Linked DNA regions of Anolis sagrei. The protein of the gene in region 2 purifies or fractionates together with the protein of the main gene of each other region. This does not show direct contact. Links are inferred from orthologs where the notes say so. Each region holds a gene or a part of one and is shown on either strand. Other genes may lie near its edges.

Evidence for each region.
Region 1: the proteins of PARD3 (region 2) and PARD6B purify together in Homo sapiens (affinity purification with mass spectrometry; 5 studies listed by BioGRID and IntAct, counting the BioPlex papers as one, with this or other methods). This does not show direct contact. The link is inferred for Anolis sagrei from reciprocal best matches to the Homo sapiens genes PARD3 and PARD6B.
Region 3: the proteins of PARD3 (region 2) and PARD6A purify together in Homo sapiens (co-immunoprecipitation; 7 studies listed by BioGRID and IntAct, with this or other methods). This does not show direct contact. The link is inferred for Anolis sagrei from reciprocal best matches to the Homo sapiens genes PARD3 and PARD6A.
Region 4: the proteins of PARD3 (region 2) and RASSF8 purify together in Homo sapiens (affinity purification with mass spectrometry; 4 studies listed by BioGRID and IntAct, counting the BioPlex papers as one, with this or other methods). This does not show direct contact. The link is inferred for Anolis sagrei from reciprocal best matches to the Homo sapiens genes PARD3 and RASSF8.

The regions. Positions count from the first base shown.
Region 1 is NC_090024.1:222,696,968-222,704,231, reverse strand, and holds the start of PARD6B (partitioning defective 6 homolog beta), read right to left. Parts: upstream 3,007-7,264; 5' UTR 2,866-3,006; coding exon 2,797-2,865; intron 1-2,796. UniProt on the Homo sapiens protein: Adapter protein involved in asymmetrical cell division and cell polarization processes. Probably involved in formation of epithelial tight junctions.
Region 2 is NC_090026.1:114,015,411-114,022,871, forward strand, and holds the start of PARD3 (partitioning defective 3 homolog), read right to left. Parts: upstream 3,014-7,461; 5' UTR 2,707-3,013; coding exon 2,587-2,706; intron 1-2,586. UniProt on the Homo sapiens protein: Adapter protein involved in asymmetrical cell division and cell polarization processes. Seems to play a central role in the formation of epithelial tight junctions. Targets the phosphatase PTEN to cell junctions.
Region 3 is NC_090028.1:43,969,420-43,977,286, forward strand, and holds the start of PARD6A (partitioning defective 6 homolog alpha), read left to right. Parts: upstream 1-4,862; 5' UTR 4,863-4,933; coding exon 4,934-4,996; intron 4,997-7,867. UniProt on the Homo sapiens protein: Adapter protein involved in asymmetrical cell division and cell polarization processes. Probably involved in the formation of epithelial tight junctions.
Region 4 is NC_090025.1:91,142,263-91,149,380, reverse strand, and holds the start of RASSF8 (ras association domain-containing protein 8), read right to left. Parts: upstream 3,022-7,118; 5' UTR 2,712-3,021; intron 1-2,711.

The DNA.
Region 1 (7,264 bases), on a different chromosome or scaffold from region 2:
AAAAACCCACAAGAACCTAGAAGTGTTGTTGATAGGAGGAAGTGATTCTAGGGATACTTGGCTCGATCTCTCACCTCACCTCACCCAGAAAGCAGAAAAGAGAGAGATAGATGTGGGCGTGTATGTGCCTTCAGGTTACCTGTTCACCTATTAGATAGATAGATAAATAGATAGATAGATGTGGGTGTGTATATGCCTTCAGGTCATCTGTCCACTTATGGAGACCCCATGCATTTCAATAGGGCTTTCTTAAGCAAACTCAGAGGTGGTTTTGGCCCAGTTCCTCAATCTGAAATATAGCCTACAGCACCTGGTAGTCTCCCATCCAAGTTTTTTTTTGTTTTATGTCGTGTCAGGAGCTACTTGAGAAACTGCAAGTCGCTTTTGGTGTGAGAGAACTGGCCATCTGCAAGGATGTTGCCCAGGGGACGTCTGGATTTGATGTTTTTATCATCCTTGTGGTAGGCTTCTCTCATGTCCCCGTATGAGAAGCTGGAGCTGATAGAGGGAGCTCATCTGCCTCTCCCCGGGTCCAAACCTGTGACCTGTCGGGTCTTGAGTTCTGCCGACACAGGGGTTTAACCCACTGCGCCACCGGGGGCTCTTTTCCATCCAAGTGCTAACCATGGCTGTCCCTGATTAGCATCTAAGGCTGGCATGGCCAAACTTGAGCGCTCCCGGTATTTTGGACTTCAACTCCCACAATTCCTAACTGTTAGGAACTTTTTTTCCCATGTCAGGAGCGACTTGAGAGACTGCAAATCGCTTCTGGTGTGAGAGAATTGACTATCTGCAAGGATGTTGCCCAGGGGATGCTCGGATGTTTTGATGTTTTACCATCCTTTTGGGAGGCTTCTCTCATGTCCCTGCATGGGGAGCTGGAGCTGACAGAGGGAGCTCATCTGCAGTCTCCCCGGATTCGAACCGGGGGCTCCTGTTAGGAACTGTGGGCCTTGAAGTCCAAAACATCAGGAGGGCCCAAGTTTACCCATGCCTGCTCTAAGACCAGACTTACAGCCACCCATTGGATTTCATAGGGTTTTCAAAGGCAAAGAATAGTCAGAGCTCTTTTTGCCACTTCCTTCCTCTGAAATAGAGTCCATCGGCAGTCTCCCAGCCAAGAAACAGCCAGGGCTGACCCTGCTTAGCTTCCAAGATCAGTCCAGAGTTTGGTACTTTTTGGGTGCTTATGCCCTCAGAAGACATATAGTAATGTATTTCCTTCTCATCATAGGTTTAACCCAGGCATGGGCAAACTTGGGCCTTTTGGGTGTTTTGGACTCCAACTCCCACCATTCCTAACAGCCTCGGGCCCTTTCCTTTCCCCCCTCAGCTGCTTAAGCGGCTGAGGGGGAAAAGGAAAGGGTTTGAGGCTGTTAGGAATGGTGGGAGTTGGAGTCCAAAACACCCAAAAGGCCCAAGTTTGCCTTTTTAATCCCATATTTACTTCTATTATTATTATTTCTAGGAAAATAAGTATTGGGATTGTAAGTGTGGCTGTGAGTTCTAAGTGGACTCACAGAGTTCCTGCATGTCCTGTGTGCATGAAAAAGTGTGGTGTTAGCGAATGACCATGGCTACCCAGAGTGAATGCCCTCTGTACATGCCCAGAAGCATGGGCAACTCCAGGGTCCCCAGAGTTGAGTGCCCTCTGCATATGCCCAGAAACACTCCTGCCTACTGAATATGAAGGGGAACTTTTCCCAGATTCGACAAAACCACTTCCCAATCTGGGCAACTCCAGAGTCCCCAGAGTGAATGCCCTCTGCACATGCCCAGAAACACTCTTGTGTTCTCAAAAAACCTCCAGATTCGACTAAACCACTTCCCAATCAGGGCAACTCCTGAGTCCCCAGAGTGAATACCCTCTGCATATGCCCAGAAACACTCCTGTCTACTGAAGATGAAGGGGAACCGTTCCCAGATTTGACTAAACCACTTCCCAGTCAGGGCAACTCCAGAGTCCCCAGAGTGAATGCCCTCTGCACATGCCCAGAAGCATCTTGCGTCCTCAAAAAATCTCCAGATTTGACTAAACCACTTCCCAATCAGGGCAACTTCAGAGTCCCCAGGCTGAGTGCCCTCTGCATATGCCCAGAAACACTCCTTCCTACTGAAGATGAAGGGGAACCATTCTCAGATTCGACAAAACCACTTCCCAATCTCGGCAACTCCAGAGTCCCCAGAGTGAATGCCCTCTGCACATGTCCAGAAGCATTCTTGCCTACTGAAGAAATGGAAGAACCGTTCCCAGATTCGACAAAACCACTTCCCCATCAGGGCAACTCCAGAATCTACAGAATGAATGCCCTCTGCACATGCCCAGAAGCACTCTTGCCTCCGAAGAAGCAGAAGAACCGTTCCCAGATTCGACAAAACCACTTCCCAAGCTGGGCAACTCCAGAATCGACAGAATGAATGCTCTCTGCACATGCCCAGATGCATTCTTGCCTACTCAAGAAGAAGGAGTACCATTTCCTGATTCGACAAACCCACTTCCCAATCAGACAACCTCAGTGATGTCCTGACGCAGCGTGGAAGCCTCTCTGCGTATGCTCAGGGGCACTCTTGTGCACTTAAGGAAGAGGAGAACAAAAGCACCCTCCAACCCCCCAGATTCGACACAAGCTCCCTCCCAAACACAGCAACCGGCTTCCCTGACAACCGAAGGGGACAAACAAGGCCCTGGCTGTCTCCAACCCTTCCTTGAAGCGCGTGCCACCCGCTAGTGTGGACGCGAATCCCGCTTTAGCCCCCGATCCCGCCCAATGGGAGCAAGGGGGAGGCGGAACGCACCTTGCTCTTGACTTCCATGGGGCCGAGGCCGCGGCTTCCTCCGCCTCCTCCCCGCTGGACCCGGTTCATGCCGCCCGAGGGTCGCTCGGACTGGAAGCTGGGGCTCCTTCTCCGCCGATCCCGAGGAAGGGAAAGGTCCGCCCGAGAGCAGCAGCGCCGCAGCAGCTCCAGCCGCCGCCTCCTGGCACCTGCAGCTCCAAGGAGGAGGAGGAGGAGGGGAGGAGGAGGAGGAAGCAGCGCGCATGCGCGGACGCGGAGCCGCCCCGCGGATCCACCACAAGGAGGGGAAAGCCCCTGCACACCTGCGAGCCCCGGAGGCGCATGCGCACCTGTTGCTTCTTAGAGGGAGAGAAAAAAGAAAGGCACCTGCTAGGGAAGGCAGGATCCAGACTGCGCCTGCGCCATTGGGACAGGGAAGGAGGAGGTGTTGTGTTAGACAGCAGGGAGAGAAATACCTGCCGGGCTGGATTCCAAAGAAAGGGAGAGGACGGCGCATGCGCGGCTGCTGATAGTTTTTTTTTCCAATGGAAAGGTGCACTACGTTGTAACAACAACTTTATCTATATACCACCCTCTTTCCCCAATGGGACTTAGGGCGGTTAATGCAGGATTAATTGTAGGATTAATGCAATTTGGCACCGGTATGGACTCCTGGTAGTTGTATCTTGGTAGAGAGGGCTTGTTAAACTACAACTCCCAGGATTCCATAGCACTGAGCCATGGCATTTAATGAAGTATCAAACTGCATTAAGTCTATAGTGCAGATGGATCCCTAGTTACTGGAGCAACAGATTTTCAGAGCCTTGGAAACCCATTAGTTTTCATCCGTAGAAAAACAGTGCATTGTTTTTCTTTGCAGAGTTGCCCCATCATTCATGAGAATAAGGTAAAAGTTTACCCCTGACATGAAGTCCAGTTGTGGTGCTCATCTCCATTTCTAAGCCGAAGGGCCGGCATTGTCTGTAGACACCTCCAAGGTCATGTGGCCAGCATGACTGCATGGAGCACTGTTACCTTCCTGCAGAAGCATTACCTATTGATCTACTCATATTTGCATGTTTTCGAACTGCTAGGTTGGTAGAAGCTGGGGCTGACAACAGAAGCTCACACCGCTCTCCGAATTTGAACCTGCGACCTTTCAGTAAACAAGCTCAGCAGTTCAGCGCTTTAACCCACTGCGCCACCGAGGGCTCCTTCATGACAATAAACATGACTCTAAATAGTTACAGCATTTATAATCTTTTAACTTTAGTAACAATTTGTGATCTCAATTGAAAAGAGTTCCAACCAAAGTCTTGAAGTGCTTCAGAGAAAAAATAAGAATACTTCAATAATGTATTTTGGGGATGGGAAAGAAGAGCTGGGCATGTTTAGCCTGAAGAAGAGAAGGCTAAAAGGAGACATGATAGCCACATATAAATATGTGAGGGGAAGTCATAGGGAGGAGGGAGCAAGCTTGTTTTCTGCTTCCCTGGAGACTAGGACGCAGAACAATGGCTTCAAACTACAGAAAAGGATATTCCACCTGAACATGGGGAAGAACTTCCTAACTATGAGAGCTGATCAGCAGTGGAACTCTTTGCCCCAGAGTGTGGTGGAGACTCCTTCTTTGGAGGCTTTTAAAGAGAGGCTGGATGACCATCTGTTGGGGGTGCTTTGAATGCAATTTTCCTGCTTCTTGGCAAGGGGTTGGATTGGATGGCCCACATGGTCTCTCCCAACTCTATGATTCTAAGAAATTCATGAAAAAAAGTTTGTTTACTGATTAAAAAGGCTGTTTATGGTTTCATCTCCATATCTACTCAAACAATATTGTTACAGGATAAACAACATCAAGGGTGATAATTTACTTGATTTTCTTCCAACATGACACATTTTATGACCTTCAGCAGTGGCTGGATCCACACAATGTGTAGATCTACATAATGCAATTGTCCTGCATTGAACTACATTATACGGATCTACATTGACCATATTTTGCAAGTTCAAATTGAATTATATGGCAGTATAGATCCAGCTTGTGCCCTGCACAGAATAAATCTGTTTCTAAACAAAAAAATGGACACGAATCTGATATCAGAAATGGCAACATTTAGAAGCCAGTGGGAAGACATTTCAGTCTCGCCGTTTATTCCATAGATCACCTGAAAAGTTACCCAGAACCTCAATTTGTGGCTGATACTGGATGAGACACACACACACACACACACACACCCGGCACACAGAAGACTGGGCGACTTGGAAGGCGCTGAACAGACTGCGCTCTGGCACCACGAGATGCAGAGCCAACCTTAAGAAATGAGGTCACAAATTGGAGTCCATGACATGTGAGTATAGAGAAGAGCAAACCACAGACCACTTACTACAATTCATCCAGAGCTCTGCCACATGCACAATGGAGGACCTTCTTACAGCGACACCTTTAGGAGGCACTCCAAGTGGCCAGCTTCTGGTCAAAAGACTTAGTATAATGCCAAGTTTTTAACTTTGTGTTTTAAATACATTCTAATTGTACCCTCTACTTGCTTCTGATATGATAAATAAATATCTGAAAAGCTCCTTCTTTAAATAATACAGATTCAAAGGGGCAATGTTGTTAAAACAGTTGATCTGAAACTTCTCCAGAAGTATAGTGTTTATCTATCTGAGTTTCAATTGATGTATGCTCTGCTGCTGCTGTTGTTGTTAATTAATAGAACAAATCTAGGACACTTGTGTTTTCACAGACCAGTTCTTTTGTGAAGCCATTACTTTTTAGCATATATCTGCATATCTTTAATTCCTTAACAATTCCTTGTCATAGAGGACATGCTTTGTAATTTCTCTCCATCTCAGCTGCTGCCTACTGTTCTTTATTTATTGGGCTGGATATATGGTAGTTGTATTTTGAGTAATCTTATTAAAGTAAGTAGAACTTACACTAAAAAATGACTTTAGGCCTATTGTGGCATTATTCACAGCCAAAAGTATTTTAGTCTGTTTCAGCTTGAAAAGACATAAATGGTACATTTGAAAGTGACTGAGGAATAGCAAATTCCTAATGCAATCGTTTGTGGATTATCAGATGCAAACCCTATTGATTTCATTACGCTTATCAGCCAGTTATTACTGAAATTCAAGAAAACAGTGTTAATCTTTAAAATACTGTTATGACAGTTTTTTTGTGTCTGCTATAAAAGGCTGAATTGTGAAATACTTTTAGAAAGAGTCTTTTGAATTCTTATGTAGGTGTTTCTAAGTCTCCTTATGGAAACAGATATATGAACCCAAATGCATCTTCATTCACTGAATGACACGCCCGTGTCATTCAGTGAATGAAGATGCATTTGGGTCTGGAAGTGTGTGCTGCAAAATTTATGCTGGACTAAAGAGTTTGAAATCTTTCTCGTGGTTTAACACTTTAAATATTCTTCTTTCAAGTAAAAGACAGGTGGACTAATGGGGAATCTATGTGAACACTAAGGCAACAACATTTAATTGGATGGCACAAGTGTGTATCAGGGTGGATCTACACTGGAAATAATGCAGTTTGACACCACTATAACAGCCTTTGCTCAATGATATGGAATTCTGAGAGTTGTAGTTTTACAAGGAGTTTAATCTTCTGTGCCAAAAAGTTCTGGCACCTCACCGAACTACAAGTCTCAGGATTCCATAGCCTTGAGCCAAATCAATTAAAGTTGTGTCAAAATGCATTAATTCTGCAATATAGATGCACTCTTGACTGTAATTCTGTTTGGGAATGAACTATATTAACTCACAACACTTACTTCTGTGTAACCATGGATAGGGCAGGCCTGTTTACAGTTCAAATCTTTTGTCTTGAACTCTAACCTCAAACAAATTATTTAAATATATCAAAACTAAACAAAAACAAGTGGAAGGGATCAAAATCAATAGGTATATTGAAGCTGAAAATGAACATAGTTTTGTATACTGGGAATTCATTTGTACATACAAATCAGTTATTTCTTTGATAATTTTTCAGTATAGGGTGGAAGGAATACTTAGGATATGAATGTGTTGCCTATTAATATACATATGTGTAAGCTGTGTATATGTCCAAAAGGTCTATTACATTTTTCAGGAGTGTTCGAAAAAGTAACTTTCCCAAACTATACAGATCACATGGAGAGGATTTTCATGTCAGTCGAATTGACCTGCTTCTGAGACGCAAAAGCCGTTCAGTTGAACTCTGAGTGCTTATACTCATCATGTGGAAGGTTTTATCACTCCAGGTTTATTAGGTTTCTATGAAGGAAGTTTATTTCTCCCCCTTGCATTCTTCGCATGGTTGGAGTTCCAGATAAGGAGGGTGTGCCCGAAAGGTTGCTTGAAGTCAGCAAGGTACATTCATAAGGCAGAAATCTTGGGACCTCACCTCTTCAAAAATATTAATCATCGGTTGCCCAACATCACACAAATGACTTGGTACTGTAGTCAACCAAGGAAAGGAAGCAAGTTCAGA
Region 2 (7,461 bases):
CTCTCACACAAGAAGCGACTTGCAGTTTCCCAGGTTGCTCCTGACACGACCAAAAAAAAACCCCAGCTCTGAGGATGCCTGCCATAAATGCAGGCAAAACATCAGGAGAGAATGCTTCTGGAACATGGCCTTACAGCCGGGAAAGCTCACATCTCAGTTTGACAATACAGGGACGCTCAATGTTTTTTGTACATGCTCACATACTGTTCCAAGGCTGAATAATAATAATTATATGTGTCTCCCCCTCCCCCTACCCCAAAATTGGGCCTGTTTCAGATATATTTATGAATTGTATGGAGAGAAGTGGTGACTGGACACAAAACCAGGAATGATGCAAGCAGAGTAGGAGGGCAAGTTAGTGTGTAACAGACTGGATTCTCTGGAAGGACACATCAGCCACAGTTCCTCCTGAAATGTAATAATGGTTTGAATCCCCTTCACAGAAACAAGACAAATATCTCTCCTCTACACTGAGAGAGTATTTTTCTGGAAATGCAGAGAGTCTGTATTACCGCAAGTGTTCAAACTACGCACAACCACACCGCTACAGCAAAAGCTGTTTCTTTTCCAATAAGAGCTCTTTTCAAAACAAGGGGAGGATAAGCCACGCTGGTCTAACGCCATAGGTTTGTTATAAAGGAGTTTGTTTTCCAGCTTGAAAAGAGGCAGAAGTCCAAGAGAGCACATGCTCCAGCAGCCTCAGAACTCCACTCCCAGGCAGAGGGGGGACTCCATGATTTCTGGTGGAGTGTTTCCCTTCCCTCGGTCCCTCCCTCACTCCCTCCCTGCTTGCTTCTTTGGGCCTGGACTGGCTGGAAAGCCTGGGGCTGGATTTCAAGCCTTTTGCAGAAACCACAGCTCGTGGAGAGGGAAAGGCAGAGGAGGAGGAAACTTGTCCCATGGCAGGGAGGGAGGGACAGGAAAGGAAGGGAGAAAGAGTCAAAGAAGGCTCGCTCTCTCTCTCTCATTGTGAACAAAAACCTTTGCAACAACTATGAAACACAACTCTGCAACAGTTGCAAGAAGCACTTGAGAAGTAAACAGTATAAAGATCTAAAGGAGTTGTATCACCTCCAGAAAACATTTGAAAATCTAACACAAGGGGCATAATTTGCATTTTTTTTCAGGATCCTGTCACATGATGTCCCAATTCTGTGTAAATAATATGCTTTATATGTATGTATAAAGCATATTTACGAATGCTGGCGACAATGAGGTGCTGCCATCTCTCCCTTTTTTCCCCTCCTCCTTGTTATGCTATTTCTTGGGAAACTAGAAAAAGCTCCACATTCTCCTGATCTGACGCCTTCCAAAACCTCGAGAGATTGGGGGGGAAGATCTCGGCGTGGAAAGTCTCTCCTTCCACGGGAGAAACGGACGCGGGAGGGAGAAGGGAAAGGAAAAGAAAAGGGAAGCCTGCAAAGGACGGGGTCTCAGAGAGAGAGAGAGAGAGAGAGAGAGAGAAGGAAAGGAAAAGAAGGGAAGCCTGCTCTTGAAAAGGCGGGGGGGGGAGGGAGAAGGAGGGGGGAAGGAAAGGAAAGAAGGGAAGCCTGCAAAGGACGGGGGCTGAGAGAGAGAGAGAGAGAAGGGAAGGTAAAAGAAGGGAAGCCTGCTCTTGAAAAGGACGGGGAGGAGGGGAGAGAGAGAGAGAGAAGGGAAAGGAAAAGAAGGGAAGCCTGCAAAGGATGGGGTCTGAGAGAGAGAGAGAAGGAAAAGGAAAAGAAGGGAAGCCTGCTCTTGAAAAGGCGGGGGGGGGAAGAGGGGGGAAGGAAAGGAAAAGAAGGGAAGCCTGCAAAGCACGGAGGCTGAGAGAGAGAAGGGAAGGGAGAGGAAAAGAAGGGAAGGCTGCTCTTGAAAAGGACAGGGGGATGGGAAAAGAAGGGAAGCCTACTCTCCGGGCAAACCACTTGCTGCAGCCCAAAGAGCGGCAGGCGGGAGCAACAACAAAGAGTTCAGTCCCTGAAGGCAACACACCAACACCTCGGGACTCCTCGCGACGCCAGCCCCCCCCCCCCCCCCAAAACACAACACCGGGAAGGAGGGAGAAATCTCTGCTCGTCCCAAAGTGGTGGGAGGAGGAAGAGAAGGAAGAGGAGAAGCCATATTCCAAGCCTTTTCCTCCCCAAAACATTGCAGAAAAGTATCCAAATGGGAACGAGTTTCCCACACCAAAGTTTCCCACTCCAAGTCGCTCGCTATTCCACGGATTGTGGCCAAGCTGAGACTCCAACTCCGGAACCCACTGAAGGGGGAAGTCGGGGAGAGAGGGCTCTGTCCCTTTGGCCCTTCCTTCCAGGGCTCTCCTTTGGCCCACTTTGCTCCCTCTTCCCTCGCCAGCCCTCCCCAGGCCAGGAAGCGCCATATTGATCCCGGGCGCGCTCTTCTCGGGCTCCCTTCTTCTTCCCAACTGAATGTATTACTTTTTGTATTACTTGTTATGTGTTCGGGCATCTAATTGTGCCCTCCCCTGTAAGCCGCCCTGAGTCCCCCCCGGGGTGAGAAGGGCGGGGTATAAGTGAATGAAATAATAAATAATAATAATAATAATGCGCACACACACACATGGATACAAAGCCCCAGACTCACCTTCGCCACGGCCTTCCTGTACCTGGTCACGGCTTGCTCGATAAGGCTGCCCACCTGGAGGTTCCCGTCGCCGCAGGGCACGACCACCCGGGTCCGCCCGAAGCAGACCGTGACTTTCATCCTCCCCTCCCACGGCCCAAGAGGCCCAAGAGGAAGGGAAGAGCGGGTCAAGGCGCCTCCGCGGGTGGATGGCCCTTCACATGCTGTGGGCCAACAAGAGGAGAAGAAGGAGGAGGAGGAAGATGAGGAGAAGGAGGAGGCTCTGCTGCCTGCCTGCCTGCCTTCCTGCCCGCTGCCTCTGGCCACCTGTTCAGCGTCGCCTCGCCTTCCTGCCTGCCTTCTTTCCTTCCTTCCCGCCTCCCGCGTCCCTTCGCACGGACTGGGCCGCCCTCCTTTTCTCTCTCTTTCTCTCCTTCTCTTCGCCCGCCTCTCCTGCCCACGCCTCCCTCCCTTCCCTCCTAAGGGAAGAGAAGGCGCTCCTTTTGGATACCTCTCCCCTCTTTCTTTTGTTGACACTCTGGACATTTCAGGTCTACCCCCCTCCCAGGCAGGGGCAAACTTGGGCCCTCCCTCCAGCTGTTTTGGACTCCAACTCCCACCATTCCTAACCGCCTACCGGCGGTTGGAGTCCAAAACACCTGGAGGGAGGGCCCAAGTTTGCCCATGCCTGATCTATCCTAGAATATCACACTAGGGGGCGGGGGGGGGGGGGGAATCCACTTCAAATCCGGTTTCTGCCTCCTGCAGAATTCTGGAGTTTGTAGTTTAGGAAGAAGCTTGGAACAGGCGCACAAAACTACAAACCCCAGAATTCTGCAAGAGGCAGGAACCTCTTCCAACTCTATGATTCTATCATTCCGTGTACTTTCTGAAGCAGGAATATTGCATTCAAATCACCCCTGACAGATGGCCATCCAGCCCCTGTTTAAAAGCTTCCAAAGAAGGAGCCTCCACCACACTCCGGGGCAGAGAGTTCCACTGCTGAATGGCTCTCGCAGACAGGAAGTTCTTTCTCGTGTTCAGATGGAATCTCCTCTCTTGTAGTCTGAAGCCATTGTTCCTAGTCTCCAGGGAAGCAGAAAACAAGCTTGCTCCCTCCTCCTTGTGGTTTCCTCTCACATATTTATACATAGCTATCATATCTCCTCTCAGCCTTCTCTTCTTCAGGCTAAACATGCCCAGCTCCTTAAGCCGCTCCTCATAGGGCTTGTTCTCCAGACCCTTGATCATTTTAGTCGCCCTCCTCTGGAGACATTCCAGCTTGTCAATATCTCTCTTGAATTGTGGTGCCCAGAATTGGACACAATATTCCAGGTGTGGTCTAACCAGAGCAGAATAGAGGGGTAGCATTACTTCCCTAGATCTAGACACTATGCTCCTATTAATGCAGGCCAAAATCCCATTGGCTTTTGTTAGCTCATGTTTAACTTGTTGTCCACGAGGACCCCAAGATCATACATATATATATATATATATATATATGGAGTTAAGACTCAAAAATGTACATGTATATATATGTACATATATATTTCATCATCACCATTTAATTACTTATTAATCGCCCTCCATCCAAGATGCTCTAGGCGATTTACAAGCTAAAATTGTAAAGCATAAAAATACAGATATTGATAAAATTAACAAAGATCAAAAGCTCTAGTAAAAAGCCAGGTTTTAAGTGCTAGGGTAAAAGGCTCTAACTCACTAATGGCTTTCATATAGGGTGGCAAGGAATTCCACAAGGCAGGGCAGAAGAAGAAAAAGCTCTGCGTCTGGTCCTTTCCAAGTGCACTTCTCTAGGACCCGGTATATAAAGTAAGTCAGTTGGGATGGTCGTTGCGACCTCCGATGATGGTAGAAGGAGAGGCGGTCCCTAAGATACGATGGACCCTGGCGGTAAAGAATTTTAAAGGTCAGAACTAGCATCTTATATAGACCACAGTAATCAGTTGGAAGCCAATGCAAATGCCGCAACACTGGTGTTATATGGCATTTCATGGGCGTTCTTGTGAGTAGCCTGGCTGCCACATTCTGAACAATACAGAGCTTTCGGGTCGTAGACATCGGAAGGCCAACATACAGGGCGCTGCAATAGTCCAGCCTAGATGTGACTGTGGCATGGATGACTGTTGCCAGAGCCTCATCAGATAGGTAGGGTGCCAATTGCCTCGCTTGTCGTAGATGGAAAAAGGCCTGTTTGCTGGCAGCAGTGACCTGAGCTTCCATTGTCAGCTGCGAATGTAGTGTATGTGTATGTACATATACATACATACACATACATAGGTATATATGTGTGTGTATATATATATGTATGGGTATATATATATATATAACGGCGCTCCATGCAGTCATGCCAGCCACATAACCTTGGAGGTGTCTACGGACAAGAAAGAGGACCTTCTCGGTGGTGGTCCCTCAACTCTGGAATTAACTTCTCAGGGACATTAGACATGCCCCAACATTGGTGGTCTTTAGGAGGAGCTTGAAAACATGGTTGTTCCAGTGTGCCTTCCCAGAATAAGGAGAACTCTCAGCAATATGCCCTCATAATGCACTTTAATACTGACAGGATGGATTGCGTTCCCTCGTTTCTCTCTGAAAAATCCTATCCCAGTTACATGTTGCCTGTTCATGTCAGCATATTTTCAATTTCAATCTATTACATTTGGCCCGGCCATTTTTAATATGTCATTATTGATTATTGTTTTTGTTATGTGATTTATATGATTTGTATTTTATTGATTGTTTATTAATGTTGTGTTATTGATGTTGTTTGATGTACTTCGGGCTTGGCCTCATGTAAGCCGCACCGAGTCCCTTGGGGAGATGGTAGCGGGGTATAAATAAAGTTTATTATTATTATATTATTATTATTATTACAGACAATGCCGGCTCTTTGGCTTAGAAATGGAGATAAGCACCAGCCCCCAGAGTCGGACACGACTGAATTTAATGTCAGGGGAAAACCTTTACCTTTTACATACATATACATGTATATATATATATGTATGTATGTATGTGTGTGTGTTTGCGTGTGTGTATATATACACACAGACATACACACACAGAGATACATATACATATGTGAGTGTGTGTGTATGTGTATGTATGTATATGAGCTAAATGTTTTGTGTTAAAATCTGGCTAGGTAAAGGTTTTCCCTGACATTAAGTCCAGTTTTGTCCAATTCTGTGGGGTGGTACTCATCTCCATTTCTAGACCACAGAGCCGACAAGGTCCACTGAGCTGCATGAACTCGCTTTCCAAAAAGTTGCAGGTTCTAATCTGGGGTGCGGTTTGAACTCCCACTGTCAGCCCCAGCTTCTGCCAACCTAGCAGTTTGAAAACACGCAAAATGTGAGTAGATCAGTAGGTAACACTCCGGCAGGAAGGTAACAGAGCTCCATGCAGTCATGCCAGCATGGTTGGAGGTGTCTACGAACTACAACAGCTCTTCAACTTAGAAATGGAGATGAGCACCACCCCCTAGAGCCGGACACAACTGGACTTAATGTCAGGGGAAAATCTTTACCTAGCCAGATTTTGTTCAACACAGGATCCCCCCAGGCAGCAACCAGATAGGCTTTGAAGCTGCAAGGCCACTAAATGCTAATCAAGGTGGCTAATTGCAACATTCACACTTACCTAGGTAGACCACAAGCTCTACTCTTTCATATTTCTGAGTTCACCTTTCTCTGAACCTGAGAGAATGTTACTTGTCCAGAATCACCCAGGCGGTCCCCATGTAAGAGTAAGGATTCAAACCCTTGTCTCCTTAAAAATAGTTAATCACTTAAACCAGGGGTCCTCAATCTAAGACCCAAGGGCTGGATATGGCCCTCCAAGGTAATTTACCCTGCCCTTGCTGAGGGTCAACCTATGTCTGAAATGACTTGAAAGCACATAACCACAACAACAACCACAACAACAATCCCATCTCATCAGCCATTGAAATACTAATAAGTTTATATTTGTTAAAATTGTTATTCATTTTAATTATTGTATTGTTTTGAAGTGTTTTTTGCACTACAAATAAGATATGTGCAGTGTGCATAGGAATTCATTCATGGATTTTTTTCCAAATTATAACCCGGCCCTCCAACAGTTTGAAGGACTGTGACCTGGCCCTCTGTTTAAAAAGTTTGAGGACCCCTGACTTAAACCATTGTGCTGCACTAATTCTCTATAGGTAGTTTAGTGAGCAGTATTTAGAACTGCCAAAGCCCTTTAGTGCACCAAACTAAAAATCCCAGGAGCCCACAGGATGGAAGTATGCCAGTTAAAATGGAATAAGAACACTATAATTATGTAGTGTGAGTAAGCCCTCTTAGAGATTTGAGGAAACCTGCACAGGTTCTGGTTACAGGATGGGGAACTGTGTTTATTTTGCTGGGTGACTTGTGAGTAAACATGATTACAACCATACTATGCAAAGGTTCAAGGCCAACTTGTTACGGGGTTTTCTTGGCAAGATTTATTCAGAGGTGGGTTGGCTTTGCCTTCCTCTGAGGCTGAGGGATGTAACTTGCCTAAGGTCGCCCAATAGGTTTCCAAAGCTGAGCAGGAATTCAAACCCTGGTGTCCCAGTAAGAAAGGCTTCAGAAAAGAGCATTTCATCTTGAAAACTTGATCTTAATCCAGATCCAAAAAGCCAAGACGTTCATGAATGGAAATCTCCTGAGCCCCAGGCCCAAAGATTGCTCAAAACATGCCTTGCTTCATTTGTTGCACATGGGCCACAGGGTTATTAAGCTTGCATTCTTAGGTACAATTTCATAACATAAATACTGATTGATCTCATTGGGGTCAACATTAATTTGAAGGTGGAGTAGATCAATAGGTACCGCTCTGGCGGGAAGGTAACGGCGCTCCATGCAG
Region 3 (7,867 bases), on a different chromosome or scaffold from region 2:
CTGCTGAGTATGCATGCCCAGTGTGGAACACATCTCACCACACTAAAACAGTAGATGTGGCTCTTAATGAGACATGCCGCATTATCACAGGGTGTCTGTGCCCCACACCACTGGAGAAATGACACTGCTTAGCCGGTATTGCACCATGAGACATCTGACGGCAAATAGCAGCCAATAGTGAAAGGACCAAGGCAGTGACATCTCCAGCTCATCCCCTGTTTGGGTATCAGCCAGCACGTCAACGACTTAAATCAAGACATAGTTTTCTTAGATCTACAGAGACACTCGCTGGAACACCCCAGCAAGCGAGAGTCCAAAAGTGGCAGGCCCAAACCCAGCACCTCAATTCGTGGGTGATACCAGATGAGAAACTCCCCCCTGGGCACACAGAAGACTGGGTGACTTGGAAGGCGCTGAACAGACTGCGCTCTGGCACCACGAGATGCAGAGCCAATCTTAAGAAATGGGGCTACAGGGTGGAATCCACGGCATGCGAGTGCGGAGAAGAGCAAACCACTGACCACCTGCTGCAATGCACCCTGAGCCCTGCCACATGCACAATGGAGGATCTCCTTGCGGCAACCCCAGAGGCACTCCAAGTGGCCAGATACTGGTCAAAGGACATTTAACCAAATACCAAATTTGCAAAATCTGTGTGTTTTTTTTTTCCTTTTTCTTTTTAATCGGTGTGTTTGTTTTGCTCTGTTAGAATTGCAATACAATGGTTACTGATGACACGATAAATAAATAAATAGCAGCATGTAGTGCAAAACTTTAGTGGGGAGCTCAGGACAAGCGATTACTTAATCACACTAGAGAATGAATCCACTTTAAGTCCAGATTCTGCCTCCTGCAGAATTCTGGGGTTTGTAGTTTAATGAGGCTGTTAAAAGCTCCCCTCTAAACTACAAACCCCAGAATTCTGCAGGAGGCAGAATCTGGATTTAGAGTGGATTCATTCTCTAGCGTGATGAGGTCGCAAGTCCCACTGCAGCAGAAAAACCTCAAAAGAGACAAACCCCCTGAAATCCTACAACAATGCAAAATATGCATCCCACCCATGATAACCCGCACATAAGATGGTTATGCATCAATGTGCAGCCAAGGTTAAGGCTGTGCAGAGAGACCTCTGCCAGCCATATTCCAGAGTAGTCTAGCAGTGGATGAGAGGCTGAACGTCTGAGCTACACTGTGACAAGTCGGTAGAGGCAACATCTTTCAGCACCAAAGGCATCATCATCCCTTCCACATAGAGCGAATTGCAGCTTACCAAAGGAGAGGCCTTTTGGGTTCAGAAAGGGAACGGCTACTGCGAGAGAAGGAAAACATGCCTAGTGTCGAGAAATTGGATTTTCCCTTTCAGTGTCATTTAAACCTTAGAGCCTCTAAAAGAAATGTATTGGCAACAGTTTCAGAACAGGCCGTGCTTTGTCCCAAAATGCGCACCAGAACGGATCGTCTTATGTTTCTTACTTTTCATGATCAAGGAGATAAGATATGGCAAAGCGCACGACGACGGCACACTTTCCAAACTGATATGTAAACAAGGAGAAAGAAAGGAAGAAAGAAAGAAACCCAGCTTGGCAGCACGGCTGTTGCCAACTCTTACCCAATGTATTCCATCTCTAGCCAAGCCGAGAGATCCTTTCAAAGTGTAAAATCAAATTAAAAACAACAACAACAACAACAAAAGCATGCTATTAAACTGGGAGAAAAATCTCTTTCATGTCCAAAAAACCCCGTTTCAAACCCCCCCAGTGGCAGGAAAACTTGGCAACCGTCAGGGTGACAGCAAAAAGATCTAAAGGCTTTGATCCAAAAATAAATAAAGGAAGAGCGTCAAGTGTTTTCCCCAGTTTTTATTTCAAGTCTAAAATTCATGATGTTGAAACAGACTTGTGCGGCTGGAGAGAGGCCGGTCTGTTGTGGAGCCTTTGAAGACTTGTCACGGGCAGCTTCAGCCCATTCCTGGGTTTAAGAACTACTAGCCATCCCCTGCCACGCATTGCTGTGGCCCAGTCTGTGTATATGTGTTTTGTGCGTGTATATATGTGTATATGTGTCTGTGTATGTGTTTATGCATAAATATATATTTGTGCATGTGCGTATATATGTGTGTTTGCATATATATGTGTGTGGTTTTGCACATGCATTGGAATGTTGTTCTTTTTTAGGCTTTTAAGTCCCTTCTGCTGTGTTTTCCAGTGTTTTTCTGAGTGATGGTCACTCATTGGCCTGAGAGGGGTCTTGGTCCAAATTTGGTGTCCATTCGTCCAGTGGTTTTTCAGTTTCATTAATCCCACAAACAAACATTACATTTTTATTTATATAGACTAGCCATCCCCTGCCACACGTTGCTGTGACCCAGTCTGTGTATATGAGTTTTGTTTGTGTATGTATGTGTATATGTGTGTGTGTATGTGTTTATGCATAAATACACATGTGGTTATGCCAAAACCCACAGTGGGTTAAACTGTTAAACTTGCTAATGGAAAGGTCGTAGGTTCGAATCCGGGGAGTGGAGTGAGCTCCCTCTATTAGCCCCAGCTTCTGCCAACCTAGCTTGGGAGTGATCCTGGACTCATCGCTGAGCCTGGAACCCCAGGTCTTGGCGGTGGCCGGGAGAGCTTTTGCGCAATTAAAACTTGTGCACCAGTTGCACCCATACCTTGGGAAGTCTGATCTGGCCATGATGATCCATGCTCTTGTTACATCCCGAATAGACTACTGCAACGCGCTCTACGTGGGGTTGCCCTTGAAGACTGTTCGGAAACTTCAACTAGTCCAGCGAGTGGCAGCCAGATTGCTCACTGGAGCGACATACAGGGAGCACACCACCCCCCTGCTATGCCAGCTCCACTGGCTGCCAGTTCAATTCCGAGCACAATTCAAGGTGCTGGTTTTAACCTACAAAACCCTGTGCGGTTCTGGTCCAGTGTATCTGTCTGAACGTATCTCCCTTTACGTCCCACCTCGGAGTTTGAGATCATCTGGGGAGGCCCTGCTCTCGACCCCACCACTGTCACAAGTGAGGCTGGTGGGGACGAGAAGCAGGGCCTTCTCAGTGGTGACCCCTCACCTGTGGAACTCACTCCCGGGGGAAATTAGAGCATCACCATCCCTCCTCTCCTTCAGGAGGAGGGTGAAGACATGGTTGTGGAACCAGGCCTTTGGGCAACCAGGCAATTAAATAAGACAATTAAATAAGACAATCAGATGTGCAAGATCAGCAGGATTGTTGAAGTGGAATCAAAAACAGATCTATGAGTTAGTGTACACTGATAGGGTAGGAGGAAGAATTAGGTTTGTATTGATTTTATTGATTTTATCGATTTTAATTGTTTTTATTGGGATAATGGCTTGAATTGTGCTAACTATGAATTGTTGTACTTCTGTGATGATTGTTTTGTGTGGCAGGCATCTAAGCGTGCCTTTGCTGTTGTAAGCCGCCCTGGGTCCCCTACGAGGTGAGTAGGGCGGGGTACAAGAACCTCAAATAAATAAATAAATAAATAAATAAATAAATAAAATTCGAAAACATGCAAATGTGTGAGCAGATCAATAGGTACCTCTCTGGCGGGAAGGTAAGGGTGCTCCATGCAGTCATGCAGGCCACATGACTTTGGAGGTGTCTGTGGACAACGCCGGCTCTTGGGCTTAGAAATGGAGATGAGCACCAACACACACACACCCCGAATCGGAGACAACTGGACTTAATGTCAGTGGAACAATGTGGTTATGTGCGTGCATTGTAGTGTGGGTTTTTTTTTTTTTTTGGCTTTTTAAGTCTTGTCTGCTGTGTTTTTCAGTGTTTTTATAAGTGATGGTCACTCCGTGGCCTGATTGATGTATTGTCTGTTCTTTCCCTCCTTCCTTCTTTCCTTCCATTTCAGTCTTCCCTTCCTGCTTTCCTTCCTTTCTATCTTTTTTCTTTCCTTCCCTCCTTCCTTTTTCCTTGTCTTTCTTTCGCCTCTTCCTTCTTTCTTTCCTGCCTTTTTTTCCTTTCCTTCCTTTTCTGTCTTTCTTTCTCCCCTTCCTTATTTCCCTCCTTCCTTCTTTCCTTCCATTTCAGTCTTCCCTTCCGTCTTCCCTTCCTTTCTTTTTTCTTTCCTTCTTTCCTTTATTTTTTCTGTCTTTCCTTCTCTCCTGCCTTTTTTCCTTGTCTTTCTTTCTCCTCTTCCTTCTTTCTTTCTTGCCTTTTCCCCTTTCCTTCCATTTCAGTCTTCCCTTCCGTCTTTCCTTTCTATCTTTTTTCTTTCCTTCCTTCCTTTATTTTTTCTGTCTTTCCTTCCCTTCTTCCTTTTTTCCTTGTCTTTCTTTCTCCCCTTCCTTCCTTTCCTACCTTTTCCCTTTCCTTCCTTTCCTTCTTTCTTTCCTTCTTTCTTTCCTACCTTTTTTCCTTTCCTCTTTCCTTTCCTTTCCCACCTTCCTTCCTTCTTTCTTTCCTTTCCTTTCCTTCCTCCCTCCCTCCCTTCTGTTTCTGCCCCCCCCCCTCCCCAGCCGTGATGCTGCTCCCGACTCAGGTGCTGGACCCACAACCGGGATGGCAGCGGGGCAGGTCCCTGGCGAGGCGGGGTGGGGGTTGCGGGGTTGCGGGGGGGGGGGTGCGCCCCGGTTGCCAAGGCGACGTTGTGGGCCTCCCTCCCTCCTTCCCCGGGGGGGGGGGGCGTCCTGCTCGTCCCGCCCCTTTTCGGCGGCGCTTCTGCGGCCAATGGCGCGCCTCACTCTCCCGCAACCAACCTGCGGGGCCGGTGACGTCAGGCGCGGCGGCGGCGGCGGCGGCGGCGGCGGTGGTGGTGGCGGGGGCGAGATCCCCGGGTCCGCCTGCCTGCCTGCAGAGGAGGAGGAGGAGGCGGAGGCAGAGGGGGAGCCGGGCTAGCCCCCTCCTCTCCTCTGCTCTCCCTTTCCTCCTGTCCCGGTGGGTCCCCCCAGCATGGCCAAGCCCCACCGGACGCCGGCGCGCGCCTCCGAGCCCGTCATCGAGGTCAAGAGCAAGGTGAGCAGTAGTCCGCAGCAGGTGCCCTCCCTCTCCCCCCCCCACCCCGGGATGGATGGTGGGGGTCTCGGCGCCTCCGCCTCCTACGCCCCCCCCCCGCCCCCCAGGCGCCCTCCCAGCAGGGATTATGCAACCAGGAGGAGACCGGCTGGGGAGGGAGGGAGGGAGGCCTCCGGAGGGGGGGGGGGCTCCTTCCTCCTTCCTTCCTTCCTTCCTTCCTTCCCAGGCACAGCCATTGGTGAGAGAGGATGCTCCGGCTTCCCATTGCCTTCCCATCAGGAGCATTATTTTAGAGCACTGGTACTATTGTGTATCTCTCTGTGTGTGTGTGTATAGAGAGAGAGAGAGAGAGAGAAAGAGTTATTTTTCAATATTTTATTGCCATTATATTATTATTTTATATTACTATATATATATATATATATATATAAATAATTTTATCTCTGTTTATTATTATTATTATTATAGTATTATTGTATGCATATATATATTGTTTATATTATTTTGTTGACATTATATTATTACATGTATTATTTTATAGTATTATTGTATGTGTATATATAAACACATTGTTATTTTATATTATTTTGTTGCCATTGTATGTTATTTTATAATAGTATTATTATATATTGTTTTATTTCATATAATTTATTATTATTATAGTATTATTGTATGTGCATATATATAGTTATTTTATATTATTTTGTTGCTAATTATTATATATTATTTGATATTAATATTATTATATATTATTTTATTTCATATAATTTATTATTATTATAGTATTATTGTATGTACATATAGTTATTTTATATTATTTTGTTGCCATATTATTATATATTATTTGATATTAGTATTATAAACACACACATATATATACATATACATATATATAATTTCACATGAATCATATTATTTATTTATATTTATTTATATATTTATATTTATTTATATATTTTAGAGGACATTGACTGGAACAGCAATTCGACTGACAAGACTGTTTTATTGTTTTAATGCTTGTTGATGTATTGTTTTAACTTTGATTGATGTTTAATTGTGGTTTTACTATTGTAATTGTTTGTATTGGCATCGTATCGGTGCCGATGTAAGGCATTGAAACTTGCCATTATTTATGTGTAAATCGCTTTGAGGCCCCCCAGGGGTGAGAAAGGCAGGATATACATACTGTAAATAAAATAAATAAATAAATTTATGATTATTTTGTTAATATTATTAGTCTATTGTGTATTCAGTATATATTAATACTTTATATTATCTTATTCCTATTATTTCATATTATATTGCTATTATAATAATATAGTACAATATATTAATATAATACAATTGTATATTATGTATTACAGGTCATCTTACTAATAATTATTTGCAGTATAGTGGTGTAGTGCAATATAGTAATATATAACATTAGTATTGAGCTATGCTAATAATATCATATATTGTATATAGATATAATATTTATAATAATATTATAATGTAATACAATATGATACTAATAATAATACAATATTACAATATGTAGTAAGAATATTGCAATATAGTAATGGCCTCCTGGTGGTGCAGTGGGTTAAACTGCTGAGCTGCTGAACTTGCTGACCAAATGGTTGGTGGTTCGAATCCAGGGAGCAGGGTGAGCTCCTGCTGTTAGTCCCAGCTTCTGCCAAACTAGCAGTTCAAAAACATGCAGATGTGAGTATATTAATAGGTACTGCTTCGGCAGCAAGGTAATGGTGCTCCATGCAGACATGCCAGTGGCCACATGACCTTGGAAGCGTCTACGGACAATGCCGGCTCTTCAGCTTAGAAATGAAGATGAGCACCCTAGTCTTGTCCAACTCTGGGGATTGGTGCTCATAGAATCCTAGAATCCAAGAGTTGGAAGAGACCTCCTGGGCCATCATCCAGTCCAACCCCATTCTGCCAGGAAGCAGGAATATTGCATTCAAATCACCCCTGACAGATGGCCATCCAGCCTCTGCTTAAATGCTTCCAAAGACGGAGCCTCCACCACACTCCGGGGCAGAGAGTTCCACTGCTGAACAGCTCTCACAGCCAGGAAGTTCTTCCTCATGTTCAGATGGAATCTCCTTTCTTGTAGTTTGAAGCTATTGCTCCATTGCGTCCTAGTCTCCAAGGAAGCAGAAAACAAGCTTGCTCCCTCCTCCTCCCTGTGGCTTCCTCTCACCTCCTGATCCATGGCCCTCATCATGTCTCCTCTCAGCCTTCTCTTCTTCAGGCTAAACACACCCAGCTCCTTAAGCCGCTCCTCATAGGGCTTGTTCTCCAGGCCCTTGATCATTTTGTTGTTGTTCATTCGTTCAGTCGTCTCCGACTCTTCGTGACCTCATGGACCAGCCCACGCCAGAGCTCCCTGTCGGCCGTTACCACCCCCAGCTCCCTCAAGGTCAGTCCAGTCACTTCAAGGATGCCATCCATCCATCTTGCCCTTGGTCGGCCCCTCTTCCTTTTGCCTTCCACTTTCCCCAGCATAATTGTCTTCTCTAGGCTTTCCTGTCTCCTCATGATGTGGCCAAAGTACTTCAACTTTGTCTCTATTGATCATTTTAGACGCCCTCTTCCTCTGGACACATTCCAGCTTGTCAATATCTCTCTTCAATTGTGGCGCCCAGAATTGGACACAATATTCCAGGTGTGGTCTAACCAAAGCATCTCCATTTCTAAGCCGAAGAGCTGGCGTTGTCCATAGACGCCTCCAAGGTCATGTGGCCAGCATGACTGTATGGAGTGCTGTTACCTTCCCGCTGGAGTGATACTTATTGATCTACTCACATTTGCATGTTTTCAAATTGCTAGGTTGGCAGAAGCTGGGGCTAACAGTGGGAGCTCACCCAA
Region 4 (7,118 bases), on a different chromosome or scaffold from region 2:
AATAAGATGGGACCAGCATTTGGGTACAGTACTGTAATAGGTAAAACGACAAAAGTGGGAACAAAAGCTATTTCCAGGAGCCTGTTAGAATGACCAGAGTACTATATAGGGGGCTAGGTTGTGTCCGGACAGTGTCTGGACTGAGCTAGCACTGGTCACTCTCGAAGATTTGCTGAAACCACCAAGTCTTCAAACTCTTATGAAAAGAGAGGAGGGATGGGGCCTGTCTTATTTCCCTTGGAAAGGCGTTCCAGAGGCCAGGTGGGGGGGGGGGGCACCACTGAGAAGGCCTTCTCTCTCGTCCCCACCAACCATGGTTGTGACGGAGGTGGGAGCGAGAGGAGGGCCTCCTCCTCAGATCTTAGAATTTGCGCCGGTTCATAGATTCAGATGCGATTGCAAAGATAGGTGGGGACCGAACCGTTAAGAAAAAATAACAGTACAGTGAGGCCACTGCATTGGTTTGCATTACAGGAAGGAAATGTACATCTGCTTACATATAACCCAGAACATCAAGGCAGATAACCCACAATATCTGCTTTGAACTGGATTATCTGAGTCCACACTGCCATAGAATCCTGCTCAATGTGGATTTTTATACAGCTGTGTGGAAGGGCCCCCAGAAAAGCCCCTCAATCCACTCAAACATTAGAAAACAGATGGATCCTCAGTGTTTGTGCATGCTCATTAGAAGGAAGTCCTAATGAAGTCAATAGGTAAGCTTGCCAACCTAGTATTGTTCTTAATTTTTTTTTTTACATTTTTATTGTATCAGACATAGAAAGATACAATCTTCAAAATCAGCAATCAAAATACCAGTATTTTCCCAAATCCCACCACCACCCATCCACATCTCCCCCCTCCCCCCGCCCAGGAACAGTTTACTACTTTTGCTATTCTTATTACAATTGTTCAATCACGAGGTTAGTCTTATTTAACTCCTTATACTTATCTTTCCCCTTTATTCTGGAAATGAGACCCTTCCATTTTGCCTCCCATGTCCTTCTGATTTGGCCCGTCCTATAGTAAGTTTTCTTTCACTAATCTATCTTTCTTTCTTTCTTTCTATATATAAATACTCTGTACGTAATGAGTACCTTAAAAACAAAAGAACCAATGAACGAAATCACAGCAAATTTGGCAACAAAACATCTTACAACACAAGGAGTGACCATCACTCAAAAAATTATGATTTTGTCATTTGGGAGATGTAGTTGCTGGGATTTATAGTTCACCTACAATCAAAGAGCATTCTGAACTCCACCAACGATGGAATTGAACCAAACTTGGCACACAGAACTCCCATGACCAAAGGAAAATACTAGAATTGTTTGGTGGGCATTGACCTTGAGTTTGGGAGTTGTAGTCCACCTACATCCAGAGAGCACTGTGGACTCAAACAATGATGGATCTGGACCAAACTTGGCACAAGCACTCAATACGCCCAAATATGAACACAGATGGAGTTTGGGGGAAATAGACCTTGATATTTGGGAGTTGTAGTCACTGGGATTCACAGTTCACCTACAATCAAAGAGCATCCTGAACCCCACGAACGACAGAATCGGGGCAAACTTTCCACACAGAACCCCCATGACCAACAGAAAATACTTAAGGCCATCCAATCCAACTCCCTTCTTCAGGGCAAGAAAACGTAATCAAAGTCCTCCTGACAAAAAGCCACCCAACCATAGATAGATATAGATAGATAGATATGATTCACACACACAGCGAGAGAGATAGTATTATAGATTTGAAAGGGACCCTTAAAGAAGGATAATGATATCTTGCATGTTCCAGGATGGGCAAACCAGGCACTCTCCACATCAACAATGACAAAGAAACAACAAGAAGTACTGTTTACCCACAAGTATAAAGGAATTACATATATTAGAAACCAACACTTTCTCGTTACTTTATTTTCCAGATCAACAGACTGGGCCACAGCAACGTGTGGCAGGGGACAGCTAGTATGTGTGTGTGTGTGGTTTTGAGCATGCACTGTAATGTAAATTTTGTTTTTTGGCTTTTGAAGTCCCTTCTGCTGTGTTTTTATGAGTGATTGTCACTCGTTGGCCTGATATGTGTTTTGTGTCCAAATTTGGTGTCAATTCGTCCAGTGGTGTTTGAGTTATGTTACTCCCACAAATTACATTTTTATTTATATAGATATTGTTCTTATTTTAAAGAAATGTGTGTGGGGGAGGGGGTGGCTTAAGAATATATTTGTGTTGACCAAAAGGGGCTGTTTGGGGTTCTTTTCAACGGATTGTGCTGCCAGTTTCATAATTTATGACTTTAAAAAAAGTAACAAGTTTGGGAAATCAGGCTGACGTTTGAAGACATCCTGAGTTGATGCATTAACTTCCTAGTAAACCTAAGCAGGCTGCCTGCTATGGGTGGACCAAGTGAAGGGGGGAGGGAGGAGGAATGATGCTGAGGCCGAAAATTGGGGGGGGGGGGGGGGACGGTAAAACAAGCCGTCAAGGAGGCAAAGCGGAAGACAAGTCGGAAAGAGGGGAGGACTTGAGGAATGAGAGGAAACCCTGCAAGAAAGCAGCTGAGGAAGGAAGGAATGCTGGAGGCGGGGAGGGGGAAAGAGAGAGAGAGAGAGAGAGGAGCCCAAAAGAGCAGGAGAAGGGAGGGAAGGAAGGAAGCGAGGAGAGGCAGCGGTGAAGGGAAGGGACGCCAACGCCGAAGTTTGTACATACGGGCTTCTCTGGCTACGGCTCCATCCGCGGCTGGGGTTCCTCTCCTCTCTGCAGTCGCCGCTGCGGGCTTGCCTCCGCCCCTTCCCCAGCCAAGGAAGCTCGCGCCCTGCTTGCCTCCCTGACTGGATTCCTTGCCTCGCGCTCTCTCTCTCTCTCGCGCGCGCGCGCCCAATCTCTCTCGCTGAGTTGGCTGCAGGCAACGGAGTTTGGAGCTGGCCTCCTGGCCCCGCCCCCGCCTGGCTGCGTCTTTGGAGCTCTTCCCCGACGGTCCGCCTGCCTTCTCCTCCAGGAGGGACCGAAAGGGAGGCGTGGGAGCTCTTAAAGCCGCAGCAGCAGCAGCATCCGCATCCGTCGCAGGAGGAAGAGGAGGGGGCCAGGCCTTCCCTCCGCTCCTGCCGGCGGAGGGGAGGCGCGCGCCCATGGGCGCCTGCTGCACGAGGTCAAGCTCTCCCTCCCGGTCACTGATCCCGGCTGGGAGGCACCTAGAACAAGCCAGGCACCCGCAGAGAATCATCGCTGGGGAGATTTGGGGGGGGGGGGGGAGGTAGACTGTAGAGAAAATTCATACACACATATAGGAATGTGCAGGGCCGTAGCCAGAAAAAAATTTCGGGGAGGGTTGACAATTTCAGGGGGGGGGGTTAAAATTTCAGTGGGGGGGTTTGAAAATTTCAGGGAGGGTTGAAATTTTCGGGGGGGGGGGGTTGAAACCTACCTCCTAGCTCACGCTGAAGCAAAGAGCACAGCAGGGGGAAAAGCAACCTTCAATAGTCTGCAGCTCCACCCCTGTCAACCACCTCCACCAAGTCTGGCCTCCTTAATGAGAGCATTCAACAGACACACCCCACCCAACTTGGTTGCTTCACTACATCCGCTATTGCTGAAAGTAATGACAGTGTGAATAAATTGTCAATATTTGCTTGAGATAGTGCTTACAGTTCTGGAGGGACTCTTAATTTTTTGCATCTCATAGACCTAGCATGGGGATTTTTTTAACCAGTTAAAATTCATGAGTAAACCAGGTTTTTTAAAAAAATCTGAAACATTTCGGGGGGGGGGGATTGAACCCCTAAAACCACCCCCTCGCTACAGGCCTGGGAATGTGTGTATATTCTTTTGGGAGGGGGAGGGGGGAAGTTTGGTAATATCGGTTTGGTGATGTGCAGGCCTGTAGCGAGGGGGTGGCTTTAGGGGTTCAACCCCCCTCCCCCCAAATGTTTCAGATTTTTTTAAAAAAACCTGGTTTACTCATGAATTTTAATTGTTTAACCCAATCCCCTTTTTATCTTGTATGCAGAACACATCATGCGATGTGCGGGGCTTGATGAATGCAAGGCTGGGGTGAAAATTGCTGGAAGAAACATTAACAACCTCAGATATGCAGATGACACCACTCTGATGGCCGAAAGCGAGGAGGAGCTGAGGAGCCTTCTAATCAAGGTGAAAGAAAAGCTGGGTTGCAGCTAAACATAAAAAAAACCAAGATTATGGCAACAAGAATGATTGACAACTGGAAAATAGAGGGAGAAAATGTGGAGGCCATAGAATCATAGAATCATAGAATCAAAGAGTTGGAAGAGACCTCATGGGCCATCCAGTCCAACCCCCTGCCAAGAAGCAGGAATATTGCATTCAAATCATCCCTGACAGATGGCCATCCAGCCTCTGTTTAAAAGCTTCCAAAGAAGGAGCCTCCACCACACTCCTGGGCAGAGAGTTCCACTGCTGAACGGCTCTCACAGGAAGTTCTTCCTCATGTTCAGATGGAATCTCCTCTCTTGTAGTTTGAAGCCATTGCTCCGCGTCCTAGTCTCCAAGGAAGCAGAAAACAAGCTTGCTCCCTCCTCCCTGTGGCTTCCTCTCACATATTTATACATGGCTATCATGTCTCCTCTCAGCCTTCTCTTCTTCAGGCTAAACATGCCCAGTTCCCTAAGCCGCTCCTCATAGGGCTTGTTCTCCAGACCCTTGATCATTTTAGTCGCCCTCCTCTGGACACATTCCAGCTTGTCAATATCTCTCTCCATAACATACTTTGTATTTCTAGGCGCAAAGATCACTGCAGATGCAGACTGTAGCCAGGAAATCAGAAGACGCTTACTTCTTGGGAGGAGAGCAATGTCCAGTCTCAATAAAATAGTGAAGAGTAGAGACATCAGACTGGCAACAAAGATCCGCCTAGTCAAAGCCATGGTATTCCCTGTAGTAACCTACGGATGTGAGAGCTGGACCTTAGGGAAGGCTGAGCGAAGGAAGATCGATGCTTTTGAGCTGTGGTGTTGGAGGAAAGTTCTGAGAGTGCCTTGGACTGCGAGAAGATCCAACCAGTCCATCCTCCAGGAAATAAAGCCCGACTGCTCACTGGAGGGAAGGATACTAGAGACAAAGTTGAAGTACTTTGGCCACATCATGAGGAGACAGCAAAGCCTAGAGAAGACAATTATGCTGGGGAAAGTGGAAGGCAAAAGGAAGAGGGGCCAACCAAGGGCAAGATGGATGGATGGCATCCTTGAAGCGACTGGACTGACCTTGAAAGAGCTGGGGGTGCTGACGGCCGACAGGGAGCTCTGGCGTGGGCTGGTCCATGAGGTCACGAAGAGTTGGAGATGACTGAACGAATGAACAACAACAAGCATCTCCCGAAGGATTCGATGCGGCTTACACAGGCCGAGGCCTCAACACACAACACAACAGTCCAATCTAAGCAAATCAAACAATTAAAAACAGAATAAAGCAAAATAAACAACAGGCACAATACACTAAACACAATAAAACTGGGCCAGGCCAAAGCAATGGGTACAAGATTAAAAGTGCTGATGTGACAGGAGGTGTATATAGGGCTTCCAGGGCAAGTGCGATGTGCAGCAATCATTGGTTCTGATAAGGTGCTTATGGGACTTGGTAGTGGAGATTTCCTAATCTGGGAAGGCGCATCGGAAAAGCCAGGTCTTCAAGTTCTTTCTGAAGACAGCCAATGTAGGGGCCTGTCTAAGGTCTTTGGGGAGGGTGTTCCAGAGTCGGGGGGCCACCACAGAAAAGGCCCTGTCCCGCGTCCCCACCAAGCGCGCTTGCGACGCCGGTGGGATTACGAGCAGGGCCTCTCCAGATGACCGAAGAGAACGCGTGGGTTCGTAGATGGAAATGTGGTCACGCAGGTAGGCTGGTCCCAAACCGTTCAGGGCTTTGTAGGTAAGCACCTGCACCTTGAATAGGGCTTGGAAATTAAATGGCAGCCAGTGGAGCTCCTTGAACAAGAGGGTTGACCTCTCTCTGTAAGGGGCCCCAGTTAGCATCCTGGCTGCTGATCGTTGGACCAGTTGGAGCTTCCGAGCCGTCTTCAAGGGCAGCCCCACGTAGAGCGCATTGATCCCGGCTGGGAGGCACCTAGAACAAGCCAGGCACCCGCAGAGAATCATCGCTGGGGAGATTTGGGGGGGGGGGAGGTAGACTGTAGAGAAAATTCATACACACATATTGGAATGTGTGTATATTTTTTTGGGAGGGGAAGGGGGAGGGGGGAAGTTTGGTAATATTGGTTTGGTGATGTGCAGGCCTGTAGCGAGGGGGTGGTTTTAGGGGTTCAACCCCCCCCCCCCAAATGTTTCAGATTTTTTTTAAAAAAACCTGGTTTACTCATGAATTTTAACTGGTTAACCAAATCCCCATGCGAAGTCTATGAGATGCAAAAAATGAAGAGCTATGGGGAGCCCTCTCAGCCCGGTCATAGCTAACTTCTACATGGAACACTTTGAAGAACAAGCCCTGGAGACAGCAACCAAAAAGCCCACGATATGGTTCAGATATGTGGATGACACTTTCACCATTTGGAGCCAGGTTCCTGGACCATCTTAACAGCATCCATCCAAACATCCAGTTCACCATGGAAAAAGAAAATGAAGGAAGACTGCCTTTTCTAGATGTCCTAGTCATCCGCAAACCAGATCAACAATTGGGTCACACCGTCTACAGAAAACCCACACACACAGATAGATATCTACATAAAAACTCCAACCATCACCCAAGTCAAAAAAGAAGCACCATTAAAGCCTTGGCAGACCGTGCAAAAAGAATCTGCGAACCCCACCTCCTCCAAGATGAACTGAACCACCTCAACTGGGCTCTCCAGGCCAATGGATACTCCACCTCAGCCATCAGAAGAGCTGCAAGACCAAGAACAAGCCACGAGAGTCAAGATGAAGATCCACCCAGATTAAAAGTGTTCCTGCCATACATCAAGGGAACCACTGACCACATAGGGAAGCTGATGAGGAAACACAACATGCAAACAATCTACAAACCCACCAAGAAAATCCAACAAATGCTACGTTCAGCAAAGGACAAGAGGGATCCTCTCACCTCTGCAGGAGTCTACCGTATACCATGCAGCTGTGGACAAGTCTACATAGG